Linked DNA regions of Drosophila melanogaster. The protein of the gene in region 1 interacts with the protein of each later gene in a pairwise test. Each region holds a gene or a part of one and is shown in the gene's direction. Other genes may lie near its edges. The genes, in order: CycJ, Pgam5, RAF2 and CG15043.

Region 1 (5,315 bases):
CCAAATTTGTTTGACTAGTGAACGGCGACAAGAGATGATCAAGGCCATCGAGCAGCACTATTCATTCCTCACGGAACCCCTAAGCATTAAAACCTATATGCACCGTTTCAGATTGCTCCTACACCTCGAGGAGATCGAGTGCTTCGTCAACTTTCGCAACTACGACAGAGACCGAGCACACTTTCTGCGTGACGGAGAGTTCCTCACGCTGCAGATCGAGAATCTAGCCGAGCGTCGACCGTCGCTGGTCATTGGCGATACACTGCGAGTCATTAATCCCTGGTCGGATCCCGATTCCCAGACCACCAAGTCATACGAGGGCATTATCCATAAGGTGCTCTTCGATCGCATTTTACTCAAATTCCATTCCAGTTTCCAGGAGAAATATAATGGCGAGGACTATCGACTAGAGTTCTATTTCTCACGCTACAGTTTTCGCAAGCAACACCATGCCATCTCCAAAATTGTAGGAGTAATGGGCGAGGATTTCTTGTTTCCCAGCAAAGTAACCAAGCGCGAGAATCCCCAGCTGGATGTTTATATGAAGGATGACGACATGTACTTGTACGATTCGAAATTAGAGTGGTATAATCAGTCGCTTAATTCCATCCAAAAACGTGCTGTTTTCAATATACTGCGCGGTGAAGCGGAGAACATTCCTTATGTGCTGTTTGGGCCTCCGGGCAGTGGAAAAACAATGACACTTATTGAGACACTACTCCAGTTGGTTAGGAATCTGCCTGGTGCCCGAATCTTGGTGGGAACGCCGTCGAACAGCTCAGCGGATTTGGTGACAAAGAGGCTCATCGATAGCAAAGCTTTGCTCCAGGGAGATTTCATTCGCCTCGTTTCGTACAATCAAGTGGAGAAAGACTTGATTCCTCCGGAAATAATGAGCTACTGCGCCACAAGTGATGTCGGTGCTGTGGGCAGTTGCGAGGACAAAGTGAGTAGAAAAATTTTATCATTTGGATTGGACACCAATTAATCTTGGCTTTGTTGATATTTGCTATAGATGATGGTCACCGAATCGGGATTGAAGCTTCGCTGTCAAGCTAAGTTTATAGGTACTCATCGCATTACCATCTCCACCTGCACTACTTTGGGAAACTTTTTACAATTGGGGTTTCCAGCGGGCCATTTCACTCACGTGCTGTTCGATGAAGCTGGTCAATGCACCGAACCAGAAACAATGGTACCCATTGTAATGCTAACGAAGAAACGCTCTCAAGTTGTTCTCTCAGGTGATCCTCGCCAGCTGCAGTCTATTGTCACCAGTCGAATTGCCTCGAAAATGGGATTTTCCATATCCTTTCTGGAGAGATTGCTGGAACGGTCGCCGTATCGAAAAGATCTTCAGCGATTTCCCGAAAGCTCCGGCTACAATCCACTAGTGCTAACCAAATTGTTGTACAATTACCGAGCATTACCGTCGATTATGAGCATTTATAGCAGGCTATTCTACGATGACGAACTGATCCCAGTTCTTTCCGAAAAGGATTCAAGGGAATCTCGCCTACTAAGTAAACTGCGGTGTGTATTTGAGTCAGAAAAGGATATCCCTCAAGCGCACGGCACGTTCTTTTACGGAATCATTGGCGAAAACAGGCAAAATAACGATTCCCCTTCCTGGTTCAATCCCCAAGAGGTCAGGGAGGTGTTCCTAATGACCATCGCCCTGTACCGTGCCAATGTGACTGCCGATCAGATCGGTATAATCACGCCCTATCAGAAGCAGGTGAAGATGCTTCGGAGTATGTTCATTGGCACCGACGTGGTCATGCCGAAGATTGGATCCGTCGAGGAGTTTCAGGGACAGGTGGGGTCGGAACTAAAATCGATATTACGTGCACACTTAACGTTTGTTATTTCCAGGAACGAGACATTATACTAATATCCACGGTGCGTTCATCAGAAGAGATCCTGCGCATGGATGCCCGCTTCTCCTTGGGATTCGTGCGTTGCAGCAAGCGACTTAACGTGGCCGTTTCCCGAGCACGTGCCATGATGATCATCTTCGGGAATCCCCATCTTCTGGCCGTCGACGAATGCTGGCGCCAGCTAATCCTGTTCTGTGTCAAAAATAACGCCTATTTTGGCTGTGATCTGCCTCAAATGGTGATAAATCAGAAAGATGAGGTCCCCGTTTGCTTGGAAACATTCGTGCCTTCACTGAATACTACAGATGATTTGAACTAAGCACATATGACAGTTTATTATTAAATTAAAACACTTGTTATTGATGAATTAAAGTAACACAATTAATCATTAAACTTGTTTTAAATATTTGTACATATGTGCTAATTTTAGCGAATGGTAACACTCCCAAGCGCAGTCTGGGAACGCTGCTCGTTTGGCTTCGCAGTGTGGTAGCACTGGCCGGAACCGTTGTAGCGCCATGTTTGCGCTCCTTTTGTTTTCTCCTTCATTTGTTTTGCTTTTTTCCGCCGTTAAGTTCTTGCCTTAAAATCGGTGATTTAAGGCATTGCATTCAATTTCGATACAATGGAGCAGAAAGTGGCTGCCGAGCAGAACATCTTCGTCGTCGACCGCAAATTGAAGAAAACTTGCCCGCAAGCAGATGTCGAGGTGAACGGACATGTGCTTAACTTTTGCGAACCCGACTTTATTTCGTTAAATACCAATTTGTAGCGCCTGGCTAAGACGCACTGGCTCACCGACTATGCCCGGGATATATTTTTGACCATGAGGGAGCAAGAACTCAGCCGTCGGCCTTTGTTTTACCTTTCGCCGCAGCTGAACGAGCGCCGAAGAATGCTGCAGTTGCTCAAACTGGCGACCAGCGCCCACAAGCTTAGTCGCTGTGCTTTGCACCTGGGTGAGCACTGTACAGAGGAGCCTCGCTGCAGGCACAAAACCCATGTGCACAACTCATTGTAACTCGTTTCACTCCAGCCGTCTACTATATGGATCGCTTTGTTGATTACTACAAAATCCGTCCGGACAAATTGCTCCTGGTGGCCATCACTTGTCTTCATATAGCTGCGCAGATCGAAAACACGGATGCGTTTATTCCGCGCTACAGCGAAATGAACCGATTGGTCAAGAACGCCTATACGGCATTCGAGTACAAGGCTGTGGAAAGGAAGATCCTGTGCTTCCTGAACTTCGAGCTAATACGTCCCACCACCGCCAGTTTTGTGGAGCTCTTCGCCTGCAGTTTTCTCACTCGCTCCGATTTCAAGAACTACATCGAGATGTTGGATGAGTACGAGCGGAACCATCACACCCAGCCGTACCAGCGATATATAAGCTTCGAAGAGATGCTGTCCATTTTGGCGCAGTTGCTCCTTCGCATGGCGGATTATACATTGTACAGTGAGTATCGAATTCCCATGGAAGGTATTGGATACCACTTAACACTCATTCAGTTTCCAGATTTGCCAACGATCTGCCATCCCTTTTGGCTGCCGCCTGCATTGCTGCAGTTCGCCAGGTCAGCGGGGTCAGGCGCTGGTCGGAGTACCTAGTTGGACTGACCTCCTATACTGAGGCGAATGTCGAGCCGTACATGAACGTTCTGACCGACTATTATTATTACCATGTTATTCAGACCGACTACGGTAGTCCCTCTGTTCAGACCAACCAGAGTTTAGCCAGTCCCGATTCCGGATTCGAGGAGTCCTTCACTGAGAACACAAACCTGGTGGTCTCCGATGAAGTGGTCACAGTAGAGACCTACAACATAATTACCGTGCAGCTGCAGGATCCATCTCCACATTCATCGACTTTCCTTCCCAAAGAGCAAACGAATTTGAAGCGATCGCGCTTTGAAGACGATACCGAAAACCAGCACCCATTGAAACACGCCAAAGTGGAGAGTGTAGCCAAAGATTAGTAAAAGGGAAAAACGAAACTATTACCATTTGGAGGAAATCCAAATAGCTTAGAAGTGAAATGACATCCATAACGTAGATATGGTCTTGTTCAATTGAGTTGAACCTCACCCATATAATAATCGTGATGTTATGCTTTAATATATATGTATTTAATATATATTTGAAATTATCTTATAAACTTATAAATACAATATGTCAAAAACTCAACAAAAATGATGCATTAACTAAAAACAACGAAGACATTATTTATAATTCGCTAAAGAACAATGCCCCTTGTTTAATTTAATCAGACGTTTGCGGGAGCTTTCAAATTAAAAATTCTTATAACTATAAGGGTTTACAATTCAATTTGGAATGCCAAATTAAAGATGTCAGTTAAGGAACAATGAAAGGGTCATTAAGGCTTTCTTATTTTTACATAGGTTGTATGACTTAAGATCGAGTTTTTACAAAAAAGAAACGAGATAGATTTCGGAACTCAAGCAAACTTTGGACAGTTCTCAATACATTTTCAGCTTCACAAATGCAAAAAGATTAAAACTAACTGCTATTAGAAGTTAATTGATTGTCCAAAGAATACTCTTCGTTCCTTAGATTTCGTGTCGTTACAATCGAATCAACTTAAACATGGATGTTACTCTTTACACTTCAATTTGACGTACGTCTCATATATCTAGCCTAGCCCCTAAATGCACAAGGCGGGAATGCATCGAGGAAGTTGAGGGAATCGGTGACGGAAGGAATGAAGAGTGTCAAACTAACTAGCTTACTTAAACATGCATTGCTAATCCCAGTGTAGTAAGTAGTTGCGTGGGCCAAGGTGCTGGTAAACATAAAAGTAGTTTGAATTTACAACATTTACAGGACATCTGTACAAGGATTGGCTTTCATCGCTGCATGTCGCGTCGCTTCAGCACGTCGAAGATCACATCGGAGGCGTTCTGTTTGTTGCTTGCACCAGACTCGTCCTCCGAGTCGGTTTGCTCCAGCAATGGCACCGTCAGCGTGGAGTGCGACTTCACATGGACACCCACAATGGCACTGCCATCGTTGAATTTGTACTCCCCTGGCGACGACTCCTCCTGGTCGTTATCGAGCTGCAACTCCTGCTGCCGCTGCATCTCCTTCATATTGGAGTACTTGTGCAGTAGGTGGCAAACGATACCAGCCAGGCAAATGATCAAGCCAATGTAGTTGATGACACTCAGGTGGTCTTTTCTGATAGTCACGGCTAGTGCCAACTGGCAGATATCCTTGAAAATGCCGGCTATCGAGAGCGTCAGACTGGAGGTCTTGCAGAGCACCAAGAATTCGCTGAACTCCATGAGAAAAGCCAGCAAAGCGCCCGCTGATATCCTCGCAATGGCCCAAGTTATCTCATTCGAAGTGTGGTTGTGCAGATCTTCTATTACCGCGATGAGCCCGGCACCTGGAGAGGATTGGGGGTGTGATTAC
Region 2 (4,683 bases), on another chromosome or scaffold:
CCATTTGCTGTTGGCTGAACTCCTGGTTGGGGCTCTCCCTGGTAAACAGACCCATCTTGGACTCAGATCCTGCAGTGCCCGGCGCTGTCGGTGCTCCTCCCACCTCTCCGCTGTCCGTGCTCGAGCTGATCAGCGAGTGAGCCACTGTGGGCGCAGCAGGACCGCTGACCAGGTGCGGCGGAGCGTGCAGGGGAACGTGTTGGTGCTGCTGTTGCTGGTGCTGCTGAGCGCCATGGTAACGCGGTTTGTCTGCCTTGCGCCACAGCGTGATCTCCTGTTGTTTGAAGTAGCGCCGGTCCTCGGTGTCCATCAGCACAAGGTTGAGGAAATACTTGACTGAGAACTTCTTGTTAATGTCCCGCATGGTCGGCGTGAGATTGTAGCCAGCAAGAAAGACCCGGATGGGTATGCTCTCGCCTTTGACGGGCGCTCCGTCCATGATCTCGTACTTGGCAATCGTTTCGTTTTCGTTAAACATGGTGGGGCCCGTGCCCGTGCTCTCCTTCTTGATGATCGCAATCTCCATGTGCTTGATCTTAATGCGCACCAACAGGAAGTAGATCTTGCCGATAATCGTGTCCCGCAGGTGGTACTTGCTTTTGTTATACTCGAATTCGATGTGCAGGCAGTCTTCGATGCCTACCTCCATCTTGATGGGGTTGTTCATCTCCGGGTAGCTGCACAGTGTGTGCACGGCGATGTCGACCTCCTTCGTTATGTCGCTGATCCGCCTGACGATGGTTGCGCGCAGGAAGTACCGCAACCGCACGTTCGAGCCGGCGTACACCTCGAATTGCTTCTCCACTTTGGGGAAATCGAATGGATAGCTGTTGTTCTGGATGAGATCGCCCGGGCGGGCCAGGGCCTTCGCTAGACACTTGAATTCGTGGTGGTTACCCCGGTCGTAGTACAGTTCGATCTGGCCAATGAATTCGATCTTAATGCCCTGGTGCTCCAGCTTGCTGCCCGGCTTCTTGAGGGTCACGTTCACCTGGATGAAAAGGGGGTGGATATGGGTTTATCTCTGGTTATGCTTGGGGGAACTCCCCCCGATGCTGACCACGACGCACCTTGCCGGATACCGTCTCCCCGTCGTAGAATAGCAGCATCTTCTCCACTTTGCCGTCCTCCCCTTTAACCTCTGCCGTCTTGTGCTCAGCTCCATCAAAGACTATCTCAATGTCCGCTGACTGGCCGAATCCCAGGAAATTCATAATTGATAAACGTCGAATCGGCTTCTTCTTCTTCCGTTTCTTATTGCCCCCGCCTCTGCTTCTTGCTGCTCCGATGGAATGTCGACGCTGTGACTCCTGTTGGCGGCTTTTCCTAGAGATATCTTTCTGATAACCCCTTCAATAAACCTCAGCTTTGATAGGCGTTTTTCTGCGGCCTTTTTACGTCCTTCGTTCCGATGCTGGCGTATCTGTCGCGTCTGTGTGTGTGAAATGAAAAAAATTGCAATTTTTCACACTACGGCGTTGCCATATCGCGTCAACCTGATTGTTATTAAGGAGTGCCAGCGCTGGTACTTTTCAGTATTCAGTATTTGCATGGTATTTCTTTAAGAAACACATACGGAATAATTAACGAAACAATTGATTGTGGATCCTTAATTTTCTTGGTATACAATAATTGTGTAAATATATTTCGTATTTTTGATTCATCTTGGTAACTTTTCGATAGTTGAATTCTAAATGGTCTTGCGCGGTATTTATATACCCGCTAACCTAGTATGTCAAATACCAAATCGCAGTATTTAAATACCGCACTTATTCAGCGGAACAAAACTAAAATTAAAGAAAATACCTAAAAGCCCTAACGATGCGAAAGTTGACTAGCTTCGTGTGCGGCACAGGAGCCGGACTGGCGGCTTACTACCTACAGCGGCTGCGGGACCCGCAGACGGTCGTGCAGAACTCGTGGACGCACAGTGATAAGCCGGTGGATCCGTGGGCCCTTTGGGACACCAACTGGGATTGCCGGGAGCCACGGGCCCTCGTGCGTCCACTGCGAAACAGCCAGCCGGAGGAGGAGAACCGCTACAACGCGGAGCTTGAGAAGGCGAAGGCCAAGAAGGCGCGCCACATTATCCTAGTGCGGCATGGCGAGTATCTGGACGTGGGTGACTCGGATGACACGCATCATCTCACGGAGCGCGGCCGCAAGCAGGCGGAGTTTACTGGGAAACGGCTCTGCGAGCTGGGCATCAAGTGGGACAAGGTAGTAGCCTCCACAATGGTGCGGGCCCAGGAGACTTCCGATATTATTCTCAAGCAGATCGATTTCGAAAAAGAGAAAGTGGTGAACTGTGCCTTCCTGCGTGAAGGAGCGCCTATTCCGCCCCAGCCGCCAGTCGGCCACTGGAAGCCGGAGGCATCTGTAAGTCAAGTCAAGGGTCAACCCAGTGCGTATTCCACATGATATTCGGCTTTCATTTCACTGCAGCAGTTCCTTCGCGACGGATCGCGCATAGAGGCCGGCTTTCGCCGATACTTCCACCGCGCCTATCCCGACCAAGAGAAGGAGAGCTATACCCTGATCGTGGGACACGGCAACGTGATCCGCTACTTTGTCTGCCGAGCCCTGCAGTTCCCCGCCGAGGGTTGGCTACGGATTAACATTAATCACGCTTCCATCACCTGGCTGACCATCAGTCCATCCGGCAACGTGTCCATCAAGTACCTGGGCGACTCCGGCTTTATGCCCGCCGAGCTGCTTACCAATCGCATACCGCGCGACGTCAAAAACGTGGTTTAGCCGTCTGTTTATAGAACTGCCCAAAGGAGAAGCAATCATAATGTATTTATTTCCAACACTTTAACTGAGACCTTGAGCACAGATCGCGAGACTGTGTAAACCACCATGTACATTTTGCCGCACCGTAACGTATATCTCTTAAGGAGGAATCATTGAATCTTCCGACTGAAATAATAAAGATTTTATAGAATGCCTAACATTTTATTGAGAATCCTTATATGTACAAAAGAAGCCATGAGGAGCCTAAACCCTGCTCAAGACCTTTTGGAGTCGCTGCAAGCACTTGCGTATGCCCACATCTTCTCCAGCGCCGCGTTTTAGCTCCACCTGCTCTGCCTGCTCCCTTATAAAGGATAGGATGGGAGCCACTAGATCCGGCGCCAGCTCTGCCAGGTTGATCAGCATCTGGAAGTAAAAGTAAGTGCAGTGGGCCAGGTGCTTTTCGGCGAGGGATCGCAAGTGATTGGAGCACATATCCCTGACCGCCTGTGATCGCTTGTAGGCATCGTGCGATATAAGCACTTTATAAAGTCCAAACACTTGGTTGCGACTGAGGTCCACTTCGTCCACGAACATTACGTGTTCCAGCAGCGGGATGTGCACGCCGCGCAAAACGGTTAGCAGCTGTTCTTCCTGCTCTTTGCCAGTGCTCTCTATCAGTTGCTGCATTATAGTGATCACCAAGCCCGCATGCTGTCCTGCCCTCCGCCGCTGGACCACCAAAAACTGGGTAACGAGGAGCTGAAGCACAAACTGCGCCAGCTCTCCATCTACATCCGCCTGGAGGAGGGTGGCATATGGACGGGCCACCAGCTTGGCGTTGGATGAGAAGCTAAAGTGCGGCGTCCAGTGCTGAACTAGTTGCTCCAAAGTCTTGGCCACGTATGCGTCCGTGCGGTAAGGCAGTCGACCAATGCCTTGCAGCAACACTGGGAAAATCTTGTGAACCACTTGTGGAAGGCGACCTTCGGGCGGCACTCCTGCCTGCAACTGCGTGGTGAGCAGGAACCGCACCATGGCCAGGTGGAAGAAGCAGCTCGGCTTGGATCGCACGTACGCTAGAGTGGAACAATTATAGATGACAATGGCTAGGAAGCTGTAGAACCGGGAACCGAGTTCCGATCGGCTTCGATCCGGGGGTAGCCATAGCTCGAAATGATTTACATAGGCATGCAGTTTGTGGCTCAACTGCATACGGACGTGGGCAGCAGCCTCCTCTTGCTGGGCACGCCTTCCCAGAGCTCCAAAGAAGGCGCAGAGAGGCTCGCGCCCGCCCTCCAAAGAGGTGGGATCAATGGCCAGAAGTCGGAACTCCTCTAGCTGTGTGACATGGGGCATTAAAGCCAATACAGATTCGTGTTGTGCGTTTAGGAGGACCAGAGACTTCACCCAGACCTGAAGAATGGTGGAGCTGGCAGGTCGCCCTCCGTCTTCCAACACCTGGAGCAACAACTGAGCAGAAGCAGCCATATTGATGGGTTCTGGTCCCTGCAGGAAGCCCAGTAGCAGTTTGTCCCCATTATTCTCCAGGGCGATGAAGTTAGCCGCTAGCTTTGGAAGCCATGAGCTATGGCTACTAACGTATTGGGTCCTCACCAGTGGCATTATGTGCTGTTGAAGTGCCTCCTTGATGCCACTCGCATTGCCAGCCACAGCTCTCCGCTCGCTGAGACGGAGGATTAAATTGTGAAGCGTCTGCCATACGCGATCCTGCGATGCCTGCCCACACTTTTCGACGTAATGTGCCAGCCATGGCCCGAGAAGCTGCTGCTCGCCGCGGTTGAAGTCATCCGCCAGATTAAAGATGGCTTGAAGGCTGCCCACATAAATGGCGCCCACCTCTGCATCATTGCGAATGGTGGCCAACTGGTTGAGCAGCTTGCTCACATAGTCATCCATAGATAGGCGATGCTGGGCATGCAGAAG
Region 3 (8,195 bases), about 13 Mb from region 1:
GGAAGAGTCGCTTGTCTATGGGCTTGATAAAGACGTGCATCAGCAGCTGGATAAAGTTGATGCACAGCCCGCTGGTAAAGAAGGTGAGCGCGATGCACAGGTGTATCAGTCTCAATTGTTTCAGCTTCTCCAGGGAACCCATTTTGATCTGCAAATAGCGATGTTTAACCAATAAAACGGCTGTCTTTACGTAATCACTACTTTAATTGTAGGTTGTTCTCCCGGTAGTGCTCGTAAACCCGCACTTTATGGTCCCAACGGTGGAACACCTAGTTTATGACCACTACACAAGGTCCCGCACTCACACAAGAGCTGCGTTTTCTTCAATTAAAAGCACGCGGCCAAGTTAAAAGAAATCGTGAAATCCGGGAAGGCAACCACCTGCACCACCAGCTGGCAATGGACTGGGGCAACCGCCGCACGGCAGAGATATTCGCCAGATATCAGCGGGAGCTATAGCCCATAGCCCTATAGGCTATAGCTTTTGCTAAGGCCGCTGCCGGAGGAGGAATCTAATCAGCCTTGGCCAATCGATGACTTCTCCGTTGGAAATAGCTACAGCCGCTGTGGACAAAGTCCGCCTGTCCGACGGATAGTCATTATGGGGCAGATACTCGCACTTCACAGTGGAAGCTCGCGAAAGTCAATAATCTTTAGAATGAGTGGGTTTATGGGGACCAAAGTGTGCAAACAGTTTAGCAAAAAATTGATGACAGTTAGGTGTCATTTTTTACATTTTGTACATGGAGATGTTTTAAAAAAGTACTAAAGTTTTACGACCGTTTTAATTATGAGTAAAAACGACAACTTTAAAACTTTAAACTAATTAAATCATTTCATTAAGGCGTTTAGCTATTCATATTTCTTATTAAATAATACTTGGCTTCGGATATTTTAGATATTTCAATTTAAGCAAATTTAAATAAGTTTCGAAACGATTTTCGGATTTTAAATAAACTAAAGTAATAGGTATTATATATTGAGATTATTATTTAAATGATCATGATTTACTTAAATTATGATTTAAAACATGTCAGCGGATAAAGTTTATCAAAGAAGTTTTTATTTGTATTTCTACAAAGTTATAAACAATGGTTGTAAAACGACCAATGATAAAGGTCAATCTTTTGTTTTGACACGTAATATAAAACTGGGACTGCATATATTTACATGCACAATGGAACGCACTACGTTTTTGTAATAGAAATGAATGCATTCAGTTGACAAGCACTGCTTTTTTTAAATTTCTTATTTCTTCCTATGATAATGGGATTTAAATCCAATGAAAAAAGGAGTACTTTTCATGCCATTTCTTATGCACACCGCCATTAGCTGAATCAACCGAAAATTCGCCGGGCCGAATTGATTGTATTTTTGATGCACTCAATTGGTGACCCCGACGTTGATTGCTGAACCCATTGTATTGAATTAGTTTACTTTTTCGATCGTCCACTTTACATACAACAAAAGAGTTCTTGTGCACGACCATGCGATTGTGTGCGTGTGAGCATGCATATACGTATGCATGTGCTCAGCTGGCGCACGTGTGCGAGTGTGTGTGTTTGGGAGAGGCGTGGGGTGGCGTGACGTGGTTAACATTTATGGTTATCAGTTCGCGATCTGCAAGGCAATAGCCACCCACAAACGATCAATAAACAAAGTCCTATTTAAAGGTATGTCTATCTGCAGCTGCGCCGTTCTTATCGGTTATTCCCTGTTACGCATATGCACATATATATACAGACACTGTCGGTCGTGCCCTTTGTTTACGAGTGTCACTGGGCGGGAATCGGTTGCTAAACACTGGTCACTACTATATGGTTATCACTCGGCGGCGTCGTGCCCGCCATTTACCTTTTTGGCAATGTTTTTGTGCGAATTGATTTGTTTTCTTTTGTAAGCCAAACGGTATGACCGTTCGAGTGCAATGACGATGACACCGGTGAACAAACGGAAAATCGCCACTTTTGCCTTTAGTATTTTTCAATATTTAATATTTGCCACCAGGGCTGTCAGGTTGCAATGTTGTAAAGGAAATCTGAATAATTTGGCTAACGATCTGCACTACAACTTATAGCTTATTAATGATTGATTTTTGATCTACGCTAACTTTTCCATAAATCAAAAAATGAAACTCTAGTGAGTAACTTATTCTAATATAGTTATTTGGTTTTTAGATATGAAATGACCGAATACCCCGAAACTAGTAATATTTAATAAGATTACTAGATTACTTTAATTTAATAAGATTAAAAATTTGTTTGCTTGGTTTACCTAACTAAGAACTAGTTGGAAGAACATATTTTATTCAGTATTATTTAAAGACTTTCCCAAAAGTGGTTACCCTATTGGTTTGCGTCCATACTAAATGCCTGTCAAAATTATTCGCAGAATTGAACGGCGAATTTTTTTTCGCATTTGGAAATTGGATTTTTGCTGAAAGTAAACGCTTTAAAACTGGTATAAACCCGAATTAGCCTATTTGGGGACTTGGGCCATTGTTTTAAGTGGTTTTCAGCAACTGAAAAGGTGAGCCCGTCGGCGGATTAGAATATTCAACCGGCAGACGATTTTTTGTTGGCCAAAAATTTGCAGACGTGAGCGCGTGAGTTTTTGAGGGGGTTAATGCCAAAAGATGTACATACCTGACCGTCGTCCAGTTGCAGGCCTAATGTCCAACGAGATCTACGACTCCTCCAATTCGCAGCTAAGTAGCGACGAGTATAGCCACGAGGAGGAGGAATACGACGCTCTAATGGACGCGGCGGTGAGCAAGCAACGACCCCAAAAGACAAAATCCAAGGGATCCGAGTCCGAGAAACCCGGAAATGGAGCTCCAGAATCGGCGGCTGCCACTGAGAAAAATGAAAAGCCAGATGACGATGCGGTGCCACCTTCCACGCGCTCAGAAACAATTCGGCGGATCCGGCAATTGCAGTTACAGCGTGGCAGGCTGCCCAATCTTTACTTCAAGCGTCGCAGTATTCGTTGGTAAGGCTTACTTCCCAAAGAACCTACTGAAACTGTAATCCTATCTTATCCGATCACACTTCAGGCTGCGACCCAATAAAATGGACTACAACAGCTATTTTGACGGCCTGAAGGACTTGCTGCCCAAGCGTAAATTGAAGCACCTGGTTCGCTTCCATGACAGGCAGCGCAGAACCTACGACAGCAGGAGCATCAGTCGTAGTCGCAGCCACAGCCGCAGTCTTAGCCGAAGTTGCAGTCGCAGTCGTAGTCGTAGCTATTCTCGCAGCCGCAGCGGCAGTGGTTCGCCGGAACTCATTTGCCTTGACGACACGGAGAACGAGGATTCGCCTGAGAAACCAGAGCAAGAGCCGGCAAGGGTTACGCCCATCAAGGAAAATAAGCCTACGCTTCCGGCTCCACCCCAACTAAACTACGAGCTGCCAGAAAGGAAGAAAGCAAACCCACTTGGAAACAACGAAAACGGTGCCTCTATCCTCGACGAGTTCCTGGTAAAGAAGGATCCCCAGGAACCGGTCTTCGACTACGGTAAACTCTCAGCGTGTCGGGAATTGGAACAGGCTCTAAAGGACCGGTCGCGAGATGCGCCAAATGAGGCAGAGTCGCTTGTGGTTGATGCCACTCTTAAAAGACGCCGTTCGGTAACACCGCCCGCTAGCGAAGAGAAGCGCAACAATGAAGTCGAGGATGATAATATAATTGGGTTTTCAACGGTGCAGCAACAGAAGCCAATGGAGGCAGCTCCACCATTAAATCTAAGAATGCCCACCACTCCATCGACTAATCCTCTTCAGCGTCAGCAGGCTTTTAAGCTGAGCACACCGTATACCCTGGCTCCGCCTACTGCCGCCAAGCAAGCTGACACTTACAGTTTAAATACTCCACCGCCAACGGCCACCCAAATGCAGATATCCTATCCCAACGAAAAGCTGTCAAATAACATGAAAGCTAATGCGACTTTCTCGATTCAACAGACAGCTTTATCCCAAGTCGCTGCATCCTATGCTGCTGCACCACAAGTGGCTGCCCTCGCGCAGAGAGCTCCATCTCAGGTTGCTCCACTACAACAAGCCCCCGTGCAACAGATGCACTTCCCAAGATCAGTTCCACCGCAGCAGCTTCCTCCACCACAGCAGCGAGCTCCTCCACAGCAACTGGCTACAGCTCCATTCGCTCCACCACGGCACCTGGCTCAACATAGACCATCTCCACAGCAGCTAGCTCCATCACAGCAGCTGGCTCCACCACACCAGCTAGCTCCACCACACCAGCTAGCTCCACCACAGCAGCGAGCTCCGCCACAGCAGCTAGCTCCACCACACCAGCTAGCTCCACCACACCAGCTAGCTCCACCACAGCAGCGAGCTCCGCCACAGCAGCTAGCTCCGCCACAGCAGCTAGCTCCACCACAGCAGCTAGCTCCACCACAGCAGCTAGCTCCACCACAGCAGCTAGCTCCACCACAGCAGCGAGCTCCGCCACAGCAGCGAGCTCCGCCACAGCAGCTGGCTCCGCCACAACAGCGAGCTCCCACACAGCATATGGCTCCACCACAACATATGGCTCCGCCACAGCAGCTAGCTCCAACACAGCAGCTAGCTCCTCCACCACAGCAGCTAGCGCCTCGACCACAGCAGCTAGCTCCTCCACCACAGCAACTAGCTCCTCCACCACAGCAGCTAGCTCCTCCACCACAGCAGCCAGATTCATCAAGACCAGCTTCGGTGCAGCCGTTGACCCCTCAAAGGCATGCTAGTCCACATCAGCTTGCCCAATCACAGCAGGTCCATCAATCGCCATCTCAACTGCATCCTGTTCCAGTGGCTGCTCCCAACTTTGCGGTGCCCCAACAGCCGCAACCCCGTCGATCGGAAACGGTGAGCACCCAGACGCAGGGCTTGGGGTCACCAGCGGCTTCTTCTTCGACAACCCGCCAAAAGTCATTCGTTGATCTCAATAATAGTGATGCAAACTTCCATTATCGCGTCAAAGAACTTTTCGATGAATTGAACTCGACAATGATTGATAAAATTAACTCGGTACCCCCTGATGAAGATTCATTGAAAAAAGAGCGCGAACGCATCGTTGCGGATCTTGCAGCCCTAGATAAGCTGATGGCCCAGAAAGAGGATGAATATAACCGACTGCTGTATTTGAGCTGCATTAAGAAGGAGCTGCATGAACGAATGGAGCGAAAGGAGCGCTTGATACGTATTAAGGACCTACTGCCCATCCTTATCAACAAGTGCGGCACCAAGGAGCTCAGTGAGGTAAAGGCTATGCTAGAAGAGGAAATCGATTCTCCAATGGCCTCCAAACATAGTTTGTCGGCAATTGAAAAATTACTGAATTACGCCGAGTTAAACCAGAACATCATACAGCTTCTGCGGGGGTAAATCTTTAAATGTTTAATTCTGAGAATCCCAAGTTAAAATTGATCGTTTTCAGTTCCTTGGGCTTAAATAAACGCGCACCGTCCGTGTCTCCGGCCAATTTCGAGGATGACCAAATGCTTTTTCGTAGAGATTCCTTGCCCGTAAGTCATCTATCAATGCGGGATCAGCATTACGAATCTCGGAATGCGGTAAATGACCATCTGCTAGATAGCAATCCAGACAGAGATCCGCCAGCCAAGCGACCGAAGCTAATCCACTCGCAAGACAGGTGAGAAAATACAAATAATATACTAGAACATATTATTTTAACGTCATATAATTTATAGTAACCAGGACATGGCAAGCTCCTCGACACATTTGTCAGCCAATCTTTCAGAGACGCTTCGCAAGATTAGGGCTTGGAAAAATTATTCGCATTTTAGTAACGTCTCAATGGAGGACAATAATTCGGATAATGAATCACAGATCGAACCGCTGTTCAACAGCAGTCCGATGGCCTCCCGTCGCCAACTGGCCAATAGACAGGTATGCACTTAATCACAATATTTTTTGACATTCCGCGAAAATAAATGTTTCTATTCAGTCCTACCAAGAACAACATTCCGCTAATATCAACGACCATGAGAATGTCCAAAAGAGGCACAAGTCTCACAAGCGCAAGTCGCATAAGCACAAGTCTCACAAGCATAGGAGCTCCCATAAGTCCCAGGCTGAATCTTCCGCCACCATCAACGGTAACACAGGTAGACAATGCCACGAGTGCAAGCTCTATGGAGCCACCTTTATGTGCTCCAACTGTCAGAATCAATGGTACTGCAGTCGTGAATGCCAGGTAAGCATTGTAGGATTTATTATGTATTTTATGCATTTTTTTAAATTGTTTTATCCAGTGACGCATTGAAGGAAAAGTACTCATGTTTACCTATCTTTTATAATACATTCGTTATAGCTGAGCGATTGGGACACACATCACCGAACTTGTGGCATTTAAATAGACTTCACTTAGGACATCAGCATTACTAAAACATAACTATATAGACGTATCGCATATGCACTACTATATATTTACTCAACCGTGTAACTCACTGAAGGACACAGGACACTGGCGGACCATTTTCAATTGCGTTTTATTGAATTAAGTGCTTGCAATTGTACTCAATCAATGAAGCACAATTTAAAGTGTAATATGCCTAGCTATTATAAGTTGGTAGGGATTAAATATAATAATTATAATTCCTTAATAATTGATTCCAATTTGCTTATGAACAACGCGCGAAATTCATTTTGTTTCAAAATCGTATTGATAAAATGTTCCTCGTTTTCCCACTTTTTTTGTTTGAAAATTAAATATCCTTGACTTCTTGTTTGCTACATAAAAGATATCTATTTAAGAATTAATATATTTATTTTCTGTTTCTTTGGATGTAATTCCATGCTAAAGGCAAAATAAACAAGTTCATATTTATTTACAAGCACTTATTATTTAATTTTTGGGAAGACTATTGAACCAAAAAGTATTAGTTCAACAAAATAAAGAAAATGATGAGACGTTTTAATACAATAATAGAAAGTGTTTTAAAATTGGTACTTATAAAATATAAAATTTTACCGTTTGCAGAACTGGTTGGCTTGGTCTATCGATAAATGGCGCCAAGTTTATTGTTCAAATTTCAAACAGAATTTTCTGTGAAATTCGACTAAACTTTGATAACATATAATTCGTATAATGGAATTTTTTCAGATCATTTAGGGCTTTGCCATCGCCTCATTTATTTACTGCGCCTGCGCACCTGGCACATCAGTTTGATGTCATTTATATGCAGCCGGAGTGGCTGCCTCCTGGACCACGGACCACGTCTCAGTTTCCGGATGCGCAGCTGCCGGCTGCAGTAGAGCCGGAATTTCAGATTCGGATTCCAGACGGCACCGGCCGAGGCGGAGGGCGTGACGCACTTGTAGGCATATTGCCACCATAATCGAATGCTCTGCTTGGTGCTGTGCTGGAATCGAAAGGGGATTGGATTCAATAAGTGTGGAAGGGTGTGTGTTTGTGTGTGGGGATGGCAGTAGTAAACATTATGGTGCACCCTAAAAGAAGGTATCCAACGGGGGAAACACACTCACCATGTAGACGGGCAAGACGTAGAAACGCTTGCACTCGCGCCGAACGAAATTGAAGGCGATGGGGCGGCGGTACGTCGATGACACCTTGGTCAGGTGCGAACGGATCGCACTGGCGCTGGTGGAGCGCTGCAGACGCTGGAGCTGCAAAATGGGAATGGAAATAGGCGCGCGCACGTAATTAGTTTTTCCAAACAATTGAGCACATTTCGAGAACACAAATTAATATGCGAAAAATGTTTGCGAAGAGTTCGCGCCAAATTTGGCTTGCAAATGATTCGAATCGCGCTGCGTTTCAGCTGAATTATGGCCCATAACTGTGTGTACTCGGTACTATATTATTGTACTTAAACTAGACACCTGGCTGTTGAAAACAATGCTAACTATGCCAGTAGAATTTGTATGGGGTATTTCTATTTTATTCGTATTTAAGCGGTGTTCGAAGAGAATAAAAACGCCCTTTTAATGTTTTTTTAGCAGCCAAAATTCAAGTTGTTCTTAAAAGGAAGATATATCTCTAAAGTATATATGTCTAAATTTAGTAAATACATACTAAGCAAATAAAGCCATAAAGATCAAATCGGAACATCAACAAATATTATTTTTTCCGCCCTAATGAAATACAAATTTATCGTTTGATAGAAAACCAAAATCCTGTTGTAATAAAAATGCTTATCGAATGAACAC
Region 4 (4,684 bases), on another chromosome or scaffold:
GCCCTGCATCCGGCCACGCAGCAATTGTCATTGGGTCACTGCGATGTTAACGATAGCTACCAGCAGTGGTGGTTCAAGGAGATACGCCCACGCTGGTAAGTCCAGCATGTTTGGGAGGAGCAGCAGGAGGAGGAGGATCAAGGAATGGATCACAAGGGTTTCAGCCGGGGCAACGGGGGCGATATTTTAGACAAAAGCAATTTAGTGAAAATGAGAAATGGAATTGTTGTTGGTTTTGTAACGCATATAAGTATTGATATACACACGAAAAACACAAGATATCACACACATCTGCATTTATGACGCGAACTGTATGTACATATGCACTGTCGGCACTTGGAAATCGCCTGGGCAACCGGGATTCAGACAAGGGCATTCAATGCTCGGCGAATAAATAAATCCACAAGGATATTATTAAATTATTAAAGCTTAAGAATTTCGATTTTGTAAAACAATGTCGTAAGGAATCGCGAACAATTGTATTTCCATGTAAGCATTAGAACAATTGCTTTTAGACCATATTTGTAGTGCATGAAGTGAATGCAATTTTCAAAATCGTGTGTGTGTGTTAGTAGTAGTCGTACTTGAAAACTGTTTTCCACTTTTGTCACGAAAGATCAAACTCCACAAAATGCACTTAGTGCAGAGCGTACGAAAATCATCACAATTAGCTGATAGTGAACCCATTCCCATTTCGATCGGCGAATCTCATACAATAGATATTCAATTGATATTTGGGAGGATCCAAGCCTGGGGGATTTCCGTGCCGACCTCGTGTGTGTGTGTCCTTGCGTATGAGTGAGAGAATGCGATGGGTATAGAGCGGAAGCGAATAAGAGCGAGATAGCGCGATGGCGGGATGGCGAGTCGAGTGCAATAGAGGATTTATGAAACGGGAACGGGACGCGATGACAGGGCCGCAGATTGTTTTGCTTTATGATTGCCAACTGAAAAAATGAATGTACTAACCTTAGTCTATACTCCTGCAAGTCCAACTAATCCTAGCTTAGTTTCAACGCTGCCACATTCCAATCTAATCCATTATAATCTATTCTAATTCCAATCCAATCCAATCCGAACCGAACCAATCGAGTCTGCAGCGAAGCTCGGCTCTCTTACTACTAATCCCATTATTTTTTTTTAAACTCTTGATTTTCGTAAAGCTCTCTGTACCAGGTAGTCGTAATCGTAATTGATCGTTGCAAGTGCTTCGGGAGTTTGATTTTTGAAAACAATATTTTACATTCATGTGTAACTTTAGAGTTATCGATAAGTCTGAATAATAGCATAGAAATAAAAACGTTTTCTAAACACTTTACCATGTAAGCCGAGCTGTTGAATGTTTAATATTGTGGGGAAGGGTCGATCCATTTATAAATCAATAGATATAATAAAGTTCCCATCTCAAGATGTGCTCACAATTTGAAACCTAAGTGCACAGAACAAGTTCGCATTTTTCGAAAGTTTTTAAAATTTCTTTTAATTTTATATTCTTTTGACGTAGGTGCACCATTAATGCCCCGCCAATTCTTTAAGTGTACGCATAGAATGGCGAGTAAATCCAATTTTAAGCAGATGATTCATAACTTATTGTTAAATCAAATCTACAATTATCGATGGCCGCGTTGATTGGGAGTGGTGATGATGGGTCGATTCGTCTCGAAGGTACTCGACGTCCCACTTCCAGGGAAGTCCACGGGCGATAAGATTCCGGGAAGTTCTTTCCTCCATCGCGGGTAGGGAAGTCTAAAAGCGCGAGGAAGGGGGAGGGAAGTCCAACAGGGGGACGCCAGCAGGTGTCAATCCTGGGGCAATAGATTGCGCCTAGAGTTAGTTTTTGGCTAATCAGGGCCTGAGGAAAAAAAAAAGATTGTTTGTTTACCGTCGGATAGGAAAGGTCGTACTCCCAAAGTGGGAGTCGTGGTCTTATCTTCCGCCCATTGGTACACCATCGCAGCTGCCGGCGGGGCGAAAGGGGGATGATTGGATCCGAGCGCAATAACACCGAAATTGTTCAATTTAATTGAGTGAAGTGGGAAGCTTCCTTATCAGCATTATTATGGTTACACTTCCGTGGGGTCGCTGCACTGTAAGGTGCTAGATATAAAAAAAAGCCCAATAACTCATTTATTTATCCTCTAAGCTCTAATTCAATACAAGAGTTTCATTTCTGAACGAGAAGTAGAGCAGTTCCAGCGTCGGTGTGACTCTTTTTCCGGTATTGGATTAGACATTGTCACTTGCCACTTGAAATTGGCAATGGGCCTGATAAGGGGGTACCTAATATGATTCAAAGAAAAACAGTGGGCGGTATAAATAGGTGGTTTCCAGACCTTGGCCATCATTCCGTGACTTCAACGTGCCGTGACTGGAGACCCTTAGTCCACACACTTCGTTTACCTCGAATTTCAATTCAACGCCCAAGATGTCCAAGTTTAGCCTCATCCTGTTGTCCGCCCTGCTGGGCTGTCTTGTGTCCGGTGGAGCGGCTGGAACAATACGTGTGGATACCACCGGCATCCAAGTGGTGGATAATATCCATGTCTTTGCCGCCCAATACCCGGGTCTGCAGATCCAGCAGATGGAGAAGGAAATTGTGCCGGCCAAGGCCCGCGTCGGAAGCCAGACCGTGCGCTACAACATGGGAGCCCGCATTCCGGGTAAGTTACCCAAAGCATACCCTACGTTTGACCGACCACCAATCACTGATCCCGCAATCTGGCATACTTTCAGGCGACGAACTGGTGGCCCAGACAGCCAACACTTACGAATTCCCACGGGCGCAAGATGTGAGCCTGCAGCTTACCTATCCGGAGAACGGCAAGGGTGCCACTGTATCCTACGTGGAGCTGCTCTGCACCCAGGACACCAACGAGGGCACCGCCTACGTGGTCGCCGGAGGCATCGGCCAGAGCTTGATCTCCATCGTGCTGGAGGCCAAGAACACCAAGAACTTCTCATACCAGGCTCTCTACTACGGAGTCAACTAGGAGGCATTTGCATTAGTTCCTCGCTAGCTTTATATATATATATATTTTTTTTTTTTTTTAAATGTGACTCCAATTTTAAATACATATGTATAATGGCAGACTAAAATGATTGCAGCACCTGCAATTATCTAGATTTACGTAATTAATTTCATTTCATTGATGGGATAAAGTTTATATGCTGTCATATGTTTAATCGTAAATATGCAATTAGATCATATATGTTTGTACTATCAGTCACTCTGTTAATTGAGTTATATGATAAATCAAATTCGGACCTGTTCCTCTAATTAAAAAATTTCATTTTTAACGAAGAATGTGTAGATCCAAAGATATACATGTACGTCTTTCACTGTGTACGATCGAATGTCGAATGTATTGCAAAGCTGAAAAGTCGGTAATGGTAGAGATCATATATCACCATCCCCAGGGTATTCGGTAATCTTGATCAATTTCAAATGGTTCGTTGCTCACGCGCCTTCCACTCGAAACCGATGATAGCCATTGCCATAAATCTGGGACAGCCACTCACCTGAATCCGCTGTGGATTCCGATTGCGGCTCCGTTTGGCATGGAAGGTGAAACCAAGGCGGCAAATCATCCAGGGATTTGTCTGCGAAAGAGTGAGACGCATGAAGTTTTTGTTCTACTGACGTTATTGAACTTTCCCCCTATCTGGCTGGATTTTTAGAAGGAATTCCCAACCGAATGAATCACGTTTTGGATGAGAACGAACAATGGCCAAACTCCCAAGACTTTGCGATTCAATTGGGTATTTATCATATAGCTGGGCATCTGAGTATCTGAGTATCTGTCTTCATTCAACTATTGGGGGGACTTTCTCTGGTGGTAAGTACGTCAGTCCAGAATCGATGTGGTATATATAGATATGTATGAATATAGTATCTATGACCATGTTGCGTAGACAGTCAATTGACTTTGTAGATACGGTTATTTGTTTATTAGATTGTTTGCCATTGTGCGCCATTATGCATATCAAGGCTAAGATTGTCGTGGAACAAATAAACAAACAAACACGCGCCATCACAGATCGTCATTCAACGGCGGAGGAAACATTTCCTTTATCCAGTAAGGTGGTGCTTCCTATCACTGGTTTTATTATTGGGTGGGTTGTCATAAAAAAAATAAAAATAAAAATCAACAACATACTATCTAGCCGCTTACTAATAGATTGAACTACGATAGCACATTAAGTTAATGCTTCTTGTACGCAGTCCGTCCAATCGTCCAATCAAATAACAAGTGTTCCCATCATATCCCATCATATGCCCATCCAATCCAATCCATTTCCCAGCGGTGTAAGCTCGAGTGTCCTATTTATAGGAACTGATCGCAGCATTATGGCCAATTAGTCGATGTGGTTTTATAAAGGCGTTTGCCGAAATTGCCACAGCCAATTCCCCCGGGGGCTTATCGTTCAGTTGTGTCGGGCCGTCTTATCGACGTAGTGACCGCCGATAAGGAAGCATGTATAAAAGCCGGAGGCGGTCGCCAGTACCAGCCAAAATTCAAAAAGCGTTCGAATAGTGCATCAGAAAAGGAGTCTACACACCCCTTATTCTTCCGATTATTTTGTTTCGTTCCCATTTTTTTTCTGGTGATCTGGTGATGTTAACAAAGATGTTCCTAGTGCTCTGCCTGGTGCTGGGCATCATGGCATCGGTATCCGGACAGCC

Evidence for each region.
Region 2: the proteins of CycJ (region 1) and Pgam5 interact in a two-hybrid assay, tested with the Drosophila melanogaster proteins (one large-scale study listed by BioGRID).
Region 3: the proteins of CycJ (region 1) and RAF2 interact in a two-hybrid assay, tested with the Drosophila melanogaster proteins (one large-scale study listed by BioGRID).
Region 4: the proteins of CycJ (region 1) and CG15043 interact in a two-hybrid assay, tested with the Drosophila melanogaster proteins (one large-scale study listed by BioGRID).

Annotation. Positions count from the first base shown.
Region 1 is NT_037436.4:3,464,034-3,469,348, forward strand, and holds CycJ (cyclin J), read left to right. Parts: upstream 1-2,394; 5' UTR 2,395-2,505; coding exon 2,506-2,589; intron 2,590-2,652; coding exon 2,653-2,839; intron 2,840-2,916; coding exon 2,917-3,339; intron 3,340-3,392; coding exon 3,393-3,859; 3' UTR 3,860-4,065; downstream 4,066-5,315. Other genes in the region: armi (armitage), read left to right, coding at 1-946, 1,016-1,819, 1,876-2,199; CG14971 (uncharacterized protein), read right to left, coding at 4,748-5,289.
Region 2 is NC_004354.4:1,870,669-1,875,351, reverse strand, and holds Pgam5 (phosphoglycerate mutase 5), read left to right. Parts: upstream 1-1,786; 5' UTR 1,787-1,821; coding exon 1,822-2,379; intron 2,380-2,445; coding exon 2,446-2,757; 3' UTR 2,758-2,952; downstream 2,953-4,683. Other genes in the region: Vps26 (vacuolar protein sorting 26), read right to left, coding at 1-991, 1,071-1,214; CG14803 (uncharacterized protein), read right to left, coding at 3,001-4,683. UniProt on the Drosophila melanogaster protein: Displays phosphatase activity for serine/threonine residues, and dephosphorylates and activates Pk92B kinase. Has apparently no phosphoglycerate mutase activity.
Region 3 is NT_037436.4:16,383,966-16,392,160, forward strand, and holds RAF2 (RING-associated factor 2), read left to right. Parts: upstream 1-2,361; 5' UTR 2,362-2,605; intron 2,606-2,660; 5' UTR 2,661-2,671; coding exon 2,672-2,991; intron 2,992-3,055; coding exon 3,056-5,383; intron 5,384-5,439; coding exon 5,440-5,655; intron 5,656-5,713; coding exon 5,714-5,912; intron 5,913-5,970; coding exon 5,971-6,219; intron 6,220-6,336; coding exon 6,337-6,378; 3' UTR 6,379-6,851; downstream 6,852-8,195. Other genes in the region: Agpat3 (1-Acylglycerol-3-phosphate O-acyltransferase 3), read right to left, coding at 1-148, 1,463-1,489; CG44836 (uncharacterized protein), read right to left, coding at 7,157-7,387, 7,512-7,652.
Region 4 is NC_004354.4:18,491,824-18,496,507, reverse strand, and holds CG15043 (uncharacterized protein), read left to right. Parts: upstream 1-2,339; 5' UTR 2,340-2,425; coding exon 2,426-2,660; intron 2,661-2,733; coding exon 2,734-2,990; 3' UTR 2,991-3,315; downstream 3,316-4,684. Other genes in the region: Pgant7 (polypeptide N-Acetylgalactosaminyltransferase 7), read left to right, coding at 1-99; CG15044 (uncharacterized protein), read left to right, coding at 4,617-4,684.